2 linked regions of the Oryzias latipes genome follow. The main gene of each other region encodes a partner of the protein of the gene in region 2 in a complex. Links are inferred from orthologs where the notes say so. Each region holds a gene or a part of one and is shown on either strand. Other genes may lie near its edges.

Region 1 (3,752 bases), on a different chromosome or scaffold from region 2:
AAATTAAAAAATATTTTAAAGGAAAATATGTCATTTCCAGAAGCAAAAAAGACAATTGCAAGGATATTTCACTGACTGAAAGGTGAATGTGATTATTTTTTAAACATTAACCAGTAAAGTTAGCTTTTATGTTTTAAAAACTAAGAATTTATTAGGCATAAAACCAATGCAATGACTACACTAAGGTAGCGGGTCAGTTTGTCCAAGATTAAAGTCCTTTCTAGATGTTTAATTAATTTATGTTTGCAGATTTCTAGCTTCAGTTTCATCACATACCTAACTCACACTCACAAATTTGTGAAACTTTTTGACTTCGACATTGCATTAAGTGTAACTGATTTGTTTCACAGTCAAACTTGAAACGTCTCCCTTACCCTCACAACAAATCCTTTTTGTCACACACAGGATGGTCTTTTTGCTCAACAGTATTAATCATAATTATTTGATTAATACTGACTCACATTTCAAAATAAAATTTTGTAGGCCTACTCTGTTTCTTCCTTAAAAAAATTGTTCTTTAAAGTAGTGTCTGTTTTAGTAAGTTTAATTGCATGTAATATAAACAAGCTGATTTTGTGTCTGTTCTTTTGAAGTATTATTTGTATTTTTTTTAACTTTATTGTACAAAACGTAAGTACAATACAAAACACAATTTTGCAAAATAATCTTCAGATATGCCAGGGGAGCATACATATTACATGCATTTTACATAAAAACATTCAGGTTTCTACAACATTCATACATAACAACATAACAACAAACATACAGTTTTCTGGTTAAGGCTTTTGGAGATGTTAATGAGATAGATTTCAATTTGTTTGATTAAGACAGGGGGGGAAAATAGAAGATGAAGAAAATTTGCATTTTTTATTTGTATGTTGTTGAGAGGGTCTTTTTAAAAGGCTATTCAAAATTATGCCTGATAATAAACGTTAGCCTAAAACACGTATTTGCTTCCTATTTTATTTTTATAATTTAGGGTTAATTTTTTTGTATATTCATTTGAAAGTTTATTTCATAAATAGCTGAAATATCTAATTTTTAGAGAATTATTTTTGTTAAAATGTTTAGGCAGAACTTAGACAGCTAAAATAGGACCATAGCCTTTATAAAGAATTTCTCCGTCTTTCGAGCCGTCTCAGTTGTCGGTGAGGCCGGCGGGGCGGATCCCACACCAGAGTTAAAGAGAAAATAAAGCAACACAACAAAAATTACAACTTGGCCTTTTTATACAGTTCTCCATCAAGCTCCCCTGTGGATTTATATAACTGCAAGGTGGGTGAATAAAGGCTTGGGGGGCCGCGAAAAAGGGCTCCTGCTTTGCTCTAAGTTCGCACGCGTTATCAGACCTGCAGCTAGCAGTGCGCGAAAATGCTAAGTCAGTGGTGGGTGTTAACTAGTTCGGCCATGGCCCTACCTCAGAACTGCGAGAAACACCGGTTCACACCCCGGTGAACTAATAACAGAAACAATCAAACAAGAACATAAAATCATCAAATTTAAATTAATGTACGAATGAAATCCAATGTATGAGCTTAGTCACAGTTGGTGCTAAAGTTTGTCGGTTAGGTAGTCGTGCAGTAGTTTCGGGGCCTTCCGATTACCAATGATAACAGAAATAATTTATGAATAGAAAACTTGTGTCACGCTGGATGAAAATCCAGATTTTCTTGAAAATACAGTTAGATCTGTTCTTCCTGGCAGTGTTGCAGTCGGTTTTAATCAGCTAACGCATCTGTTGTTAATGTACTTGTTCACACCAATCTCTGTCACAAAACAACATCATGCGATCTTAAAAATTTGTTAGTCTGGTAGAAAATCTCTTTAAACTAGTTTAGTAGCGTGACACGTCTTTGAGCTATGCCAAGAAAAAAAAAATCCAGGATCATTGAACATTTACATTAATAAATCTTATAGATACATTGACTAAATAATAGTTGAGGATTGTTTCAGGACGCAGAGGTAAAAAGGCAAAGGTGCCCTGAAGATTCTGCAAAAGTGAAACTGATACTTAAAATGTGTTGAACTTTTTTTTTCCCTGAATGGAGGCAATGGAAAGTTGGTGCAGAACTTTTGTGAGAAAAAAAATCCAATAGAACAGAATCCAAAGTAGTGTTTAGAAATACTTTAATCTTATTGCACTTTTTATTGCTCTTGTGCAGATTGTGGTTTGCATTGTCTATTATTTCTTTTCTGGCGTGTCTTTATGTACAAATAACACCTGACTTTATAATTGAGATTTCTTTTTTTTTTTTTTTTTTTTTTTACTTCTAGATGCCCTCTGCAACAAATGCAAATACCCCAGTGCAATCTGCCAGCCCAGAGGTGGGATCCGCTCCAGGCTTAATGGGCAGTTTTGCACAGGGTGGACAGTCAGAAGTCTTGAAGCAGGTGCTGTGCATTATTGACAAAAAAGTCCGCAACATGGAGAAAAAAAAGGTGAGCCTTTTTCTTTAAATGGCTGGTGGGTACCCTCACCGGACAAAAAGTCCAATAGTTTAATAAGAGTGCCTTTGTAATATCTGAATATTCATTTAATTTATTTTTCTTTTATTTTAGAGCAAATTAGATGATTACAGTGTCAAGAAGAATAAAGGAGAAGGTCTGAACCAGGACCAGCTGGTGGGTTTGTTGAAGTCACAGATTTTCCTCAATAAAATCTTTTAAATATTTCGCACAAATTTAATTCTTGACCTTTAATCTTCATCTGTTTTAGGAGGCCCTCTCTAAATACCAGGAAGTAATGAACAACTTGGAATTTGCCCGAGAGTTGCAGAAGACTTTTATTACTCTGGGACAAGATGTAAGGACGACAAAGATCAGAATACAAAACTCAATTTGGTCATTAAAAAATTGTTAATATTGAAATGAGCCAAACTTTTCAGTAGTTTAGTTCAGTGACAGCCGAGTGCATTCCGACACCTTCAAGTGTTGATCCCTGTCTGAACTTTATACGCATTAATGTGATCCATACAATACTTTGTGGAAAAAGATGCATCAGGCCATTCATTTAAAATTAAAATCGTGTCCAAAATTGTTGTTTTGGGGACAAATAGTTAATAATTTATAGCAGATTTGTTGTTGTTTTTTTAAATGTGTTGGTACCAACCAATTAACATTTAAGGTTTAGTTTTTGCTTGAGATTATAAATTAATATTGTAACTGTATTTATCAAAACTAGTTGAGCACAAAGCAGTATAACTGCAAGATTCAAGTTCATTTTTACGGCAAACTCCAATTATGGTTCGTCTATCTTGAAGAAGTTGATGGGATTTATGGGCAGCTCTTAGATTATTGGTAACAGGGAGGTTTTTGCCTAAAATCCGATTTAAAAAGCAATCCTTCTACGTAATTGAATTGACTGTCATTTAGCCTGACAATATGGTGAACAGGTCGTAACTGTTTGATATTTTCATTGACATATTGAAATGTCATCTGGAAAATTAATAGAAAAATGACCAAGTTTTGGTTTTAATCAAACTGCTGAGGCATCCGTTTATTGTTATGCTTCACTTGAAAAAGTCGGGCAGATGCAGCCATCTGGACCTTTACCAATCTAACTTTAAGTGGCTTGTGTGCTTGACGGTCAGATCCAGAAGGTGGTGAAGAAGTCTGCGCGGCGGGAGCAGCTGGTGCGAGAGGAGGCGGAGCAGAGGAGACTCAAGACGGTTCTAGAAGTGCAGTTTATCTTGGACCGGCTGGGCGACAGCGCTGTGCGGCAGGACCTGAAACAGGGAGTCTGCGGCTCAACT
Region 2 (3,752 bases):
GAGCGTCTGAGCTGCGGTGGTTATCCAGGCGGGGGGGAGCCCCACAGCCCTCCCCAGCGACCAATGAACCTCTAAAAAGAATCTCATGGTTCACAGCTGATGTCTGCCACGCCCACAAGAACCAACGGCAGCATGGGGGCAACAAGCGTTGGGTGGACAAAGCGAGCGTGAAATGGAAAGTTAAACAACTGCTGCAAAATGACTCATCTTTAGCTAATGTTTCTGTTGCTCTGGCGACAACTTACAAAACCCTAATCAACCAAATGTGGGGAAACTTCTGAAAAAAGGTGCAACACGAGCTTCCCACTCAAATGTAGTAGAGAATTTCAAACAAACCTTTATTAGCAAAGGTAGCAGAACAAAAGAATTTCATCGCTGACGTTCATCCAGAGTGATCAATGTCACACCAACCGAAACCTGTGACTGAGTGAGCGACGGTTCTGAAGTCACTTCGGATCCAGGAAACGGCTCCAGGTCCACAACACGAGGGGGAAACCCCCCCCCAGATGTTTCAGATTGTGTATTTGGACGCCATGGCAACCGTTGAATAGAAAATAAGAAAAATGTTTAAGTATTGCAGATGAGGCATTTATTCTTGTTTACGCGAGCATTAGCCATGATTTCCCAGGAAGGGGACGAGTGCAGTAACAATGCCCCCCCCCCCCCCCCCCCCCGTCTGATGTGGAATGAGGTTAGAGACCATCCTCCAGCATCATGCAACCAGCAGCCGCAGTCTGAATCAGCAAATTTCAACACCAAAGAGAGAAATCCTCCTCTGTAGAAAAAGCCTATAAATGTAATACATGTGTACCAGATAGCAGAAATGTGTCGTTATTTTCTCACTAAAAGAAAAGTGTCACCAGAATTTCTACATGTTATGGAGGATGGACCAGGATCTTTCAAATGGGATCCCAAAACCACAAACCAAAGAAGCCTGCTTTCATGGGTGGGGGCGTGGCCTTCCAACAAGCTCACTCCTGATTGGAGTCAGACTGCAGGCCTTAAGGGCCGTTATCCAGCAGGTTTTTCAGAAATCAGGTGTGTTTAGCCAATAAGGAGCTTCAATTTCAAGTTGATGGGAAGACATGTGGGACACAGGCCAACGAGGCCTGGAGTCTGACACTTAGAGTGGTTGCCATAGAAACACCGATCAATTCAGATCAACTCTACGTCTGCCTCCAACATGGCGCCGTCCGTTTCACAAAAAGACAACAAGAAGGCGACTGGAATTCCTTCAATGGGTTTGAGCCAGAAGTGAACCTTCCTGCCTCTCCATAATCAGAGGACGATCAGTTTGCATTTACACTGAAGTGAACCACACCAGAGTTCATCTGCAAGTGGATTAGATCATCTTGCCCTGATGAAACCGGATTCTCTAATTGAACAGTTCTTTGGGTTTAATACATCCCCACTTGAACCTGGAAGCGCTTTCACGATTCTACAGGGTTTGACCCCCCCGGCAGTGACGGGTTCTTCCGGGTTTCCAGGATATTCCTGATGTTTTGCACATGGCCATGATCCTGGATCAGGAGGGATCAGCCAATCAGAAGATGTTGATCTTCTATTCTGTCAAGTGGGTTTCACGGACAAACCAGGAGGGACGGTTCAGGGAGCAGACGTGCCGCCACAGACGCACATTCTTCTCTTCCCACTTCAGTTCAGCACCATAAAGCGGATCTGGGTTCAAATACACCAGAGGTTCTGCTGACAGAACCGGAAACTGTTGGCTTGGAGGACCTGGAAGGGAAAGGTGAAGCTCTGAGCCCAGAAGGCCACGAGCCACTTTGACATCTGTTCTCACGGCCAACAGCCATCTGCCATTTTTAACACGGAACGGCCCGGGAGCTCCCGCAGTCACGCGGGTCTGATCCGCGAGGGGCCTAACATAGACGGGACCAATCATTTAACGTGCTTCCGCAGAAGTGCGTGGAGATCTGCACGCGCGGCCCGCAGACAAAGACCACGCCGCGGGAACGGCGACGGAAACGGCCGACCCGCGCGCTCTCTTTCCGGGACCGCGCTGACACGCGCCCCCGAGGCCTTGACAAATTTAACCGGGATTCACGTGTCGTGCGCTGTCCTGGTCCATTCCGATCTAATCCGGGACAGCTGGACGGGCCCACCAACCCCAAAAGACGAATTCTGACGGGGGGGGGGGGGGGGGGGGGGGGCGCTCAGCAGCCCCAGCACGTGTCCCGGGCGGTGCTCGTCCACGCTCCGATCCCGACGCCGAGGCCACAAAATGACGCTTTTAACATCCAAAGACGCGTAGAAACGAAGCTAACTCTGTTTAGGGAAAAGGTGAATTTACCCCACGAAAAATAAGGAAAGAAAGCTGGAAAAACCAGAGGGGGGGGGGGGTGTGCTAACGAGGGCTGCGGCTAATTCCTGCAGCTCAGAGTAAAACCAAGCCGTCGTGGGTGATTTGTAACAGCAACAATTTCATACATATGTCGGAAAAAACCCATTCCGGACTTCTGATCGCGATTAAAAAGCAAGTATAAACGTTTAAATCGGATTTCAGCGCGTCCGTCTATAGACCGCGCGACAATGTCAAAGGAAGCTAACATCAGGATGTAGATGGAGCCCGGATGAGCCACCACGTTAATCCTATTTTCATTCTAGTTTCACTTTCTGCCTGGATTCAAACAGTAGGTTTGACATTAAAACTTACCAATGAGTCAATAGTTTTTGGAAAATGTATAAATATATTTTTTAATCTATGGACTTCGACGAGGCGCTGGCGCGGCTTCGCGGCGTGCTGTAGAGCCCGGGTACCGGTTTCACCTCCGCAGCCAAATCTGACGTCCCTCCGTATAAAGAAGCTTCAGCCAATGAAATGACGCATCCACGACCCGCTGACCAATGGGGTGAGAGAATGGCAAGCCTCCCGCGCATCCAGCCAATCGCGAAGCTCCCTCTATTCCAAGGGAGCCAACCACCGCGCGGCGGTGGCAGAGGGTGCGATGGTTATACCGACAGGCGTATCCCGGCAGATTCTCTACACAGATGTGCACCAGCGGCTGTCCACCGCGTGGAGGCGACAAATGCGTTCAGAATCAGTGATTTTAGGTCGCCGTGAATTTTTCATCCAGAATTATCCACCGTCATCAATCAAAGGGGTTCGAATGCGAGAGTGCTTTAGCTTTAAAATAAGCAGGTGGGTAAATGTAACGCCATTGAGACTGAAATGACTGCAGACAGTCAGAGCAGACTGGAAAAATGTCTGCTCCTGTAGTGCACTAAAGAAAAACGTGTAGTGCACTAAAGAAAAAGAAAAGTTCATCTTTTTAGTCATCTTTTAAAAAGACAAACTAAACACATAGAGCTACTGATCCCATGACTAAACTGCTGCAGATGTTTGAGCCTCAAACCACAATATGGCTGTCATGATGTCAGCACAGAGACATCAGCTTAAAAAAAAAAAAGAGCTGATATTAAATTACAGATGTCTTCCGTTGTTTCCTCTGTCAGAGTCAGGGGGAGTTTTTCCTGCTGGGGCACGCTGGGTTCACGCCGCTGTGCATTCTTGCTGCTGAGGGCTGGATGAGCAGGTACAGATGGTAACTGGGTGCTGCGTCTCTCCCTCTGCCGTCTCCCAGGGGACCACGAGCAGCTGTGAGCGGTCGCTGCCGGATGCCGTTTGCTCTGAGAGGACTGCATGTTCGGCACAGGTTTGCTGCAGCCCTAAAAGGTTACTTTTCCCACTGTTTGGAAGACGTTTTAAACATTTATACTCTTCAAATGATGGG

The links. Proteins that work in one complex are often made in the same cells at the same time.
Region 1: the proteins of g3bp1 (region 2) and caprin1 are in contact, whole or in part, in a crystal structure (PDB 8TH7), measured with the Homo sapiens proteins. The link is inferred for Oryzias latipes from reciprocal best matches to the Homo sapiens genes G3BP1 and CAPRIN1. Residues at the interface, in NP_005745.1 of Homo sapiens: Glu4, Lys5, Pro6, Ser7, Leu10, Val11, Glu14, Phe15, Arg17, Gln18, Thr21, Leu22, Met29, His31, Arg32, Phe33, Tyr34, Gly35, Lys36, Gln58, Lys59, His62, Leu114, Glu117, Asn122, Lys123, Phe124, Tyr125; in NP_005889.3 of Homo sapiens: Met363, Gln365, Met366, Gln367, Gly368, Pro369, Tyr370, Asn371, Phe372, Ile373, Gln374, Asp375, Ser376, Met377, Leu378.

Annotation. Positions count from the first base shown.
Region 1 is NC_019864.2:14,863,931-14,867,682, forward strand, and holds the start of caprin1 (caprin-1), read left to right. Parts: upstream 1-1,124; 5' UTR 1,125-1,275; intron 1,276-2,274; coding exon 2,275-2,439; intron 2,440-2,557; exon of another isoform or gene 2,558-2,559; coding exon 2,560-2,622; intron 2,623-2,716; coding exon 2,717-2,803; intron 2,804-3,590; coding exon 3,591-3,752. UniProt on the Homo sapiens protein: mRNA-binding protein that acts as a regulator of mRNAs transport, translation and/or stability, and which is involved in neurogenesis, synaptic plasticity in neurons and cell proliferation and migration in multiple cell types.
Region 2 is NC_019868.2:28,987,687-28,991,438, reverse strand, and holds the start of g3bp1 (ras GTPase-activating protein-binding protein 1), read right to left. Parts: upstream 2,802-3,752; 5' UTR 2,675-2,801; intron 1-2,674. UniProt on the Homo sapiens protein: Protein involved in various processes, such as stress granule formation and innate immunity. Plays an essential role in stress granule formation.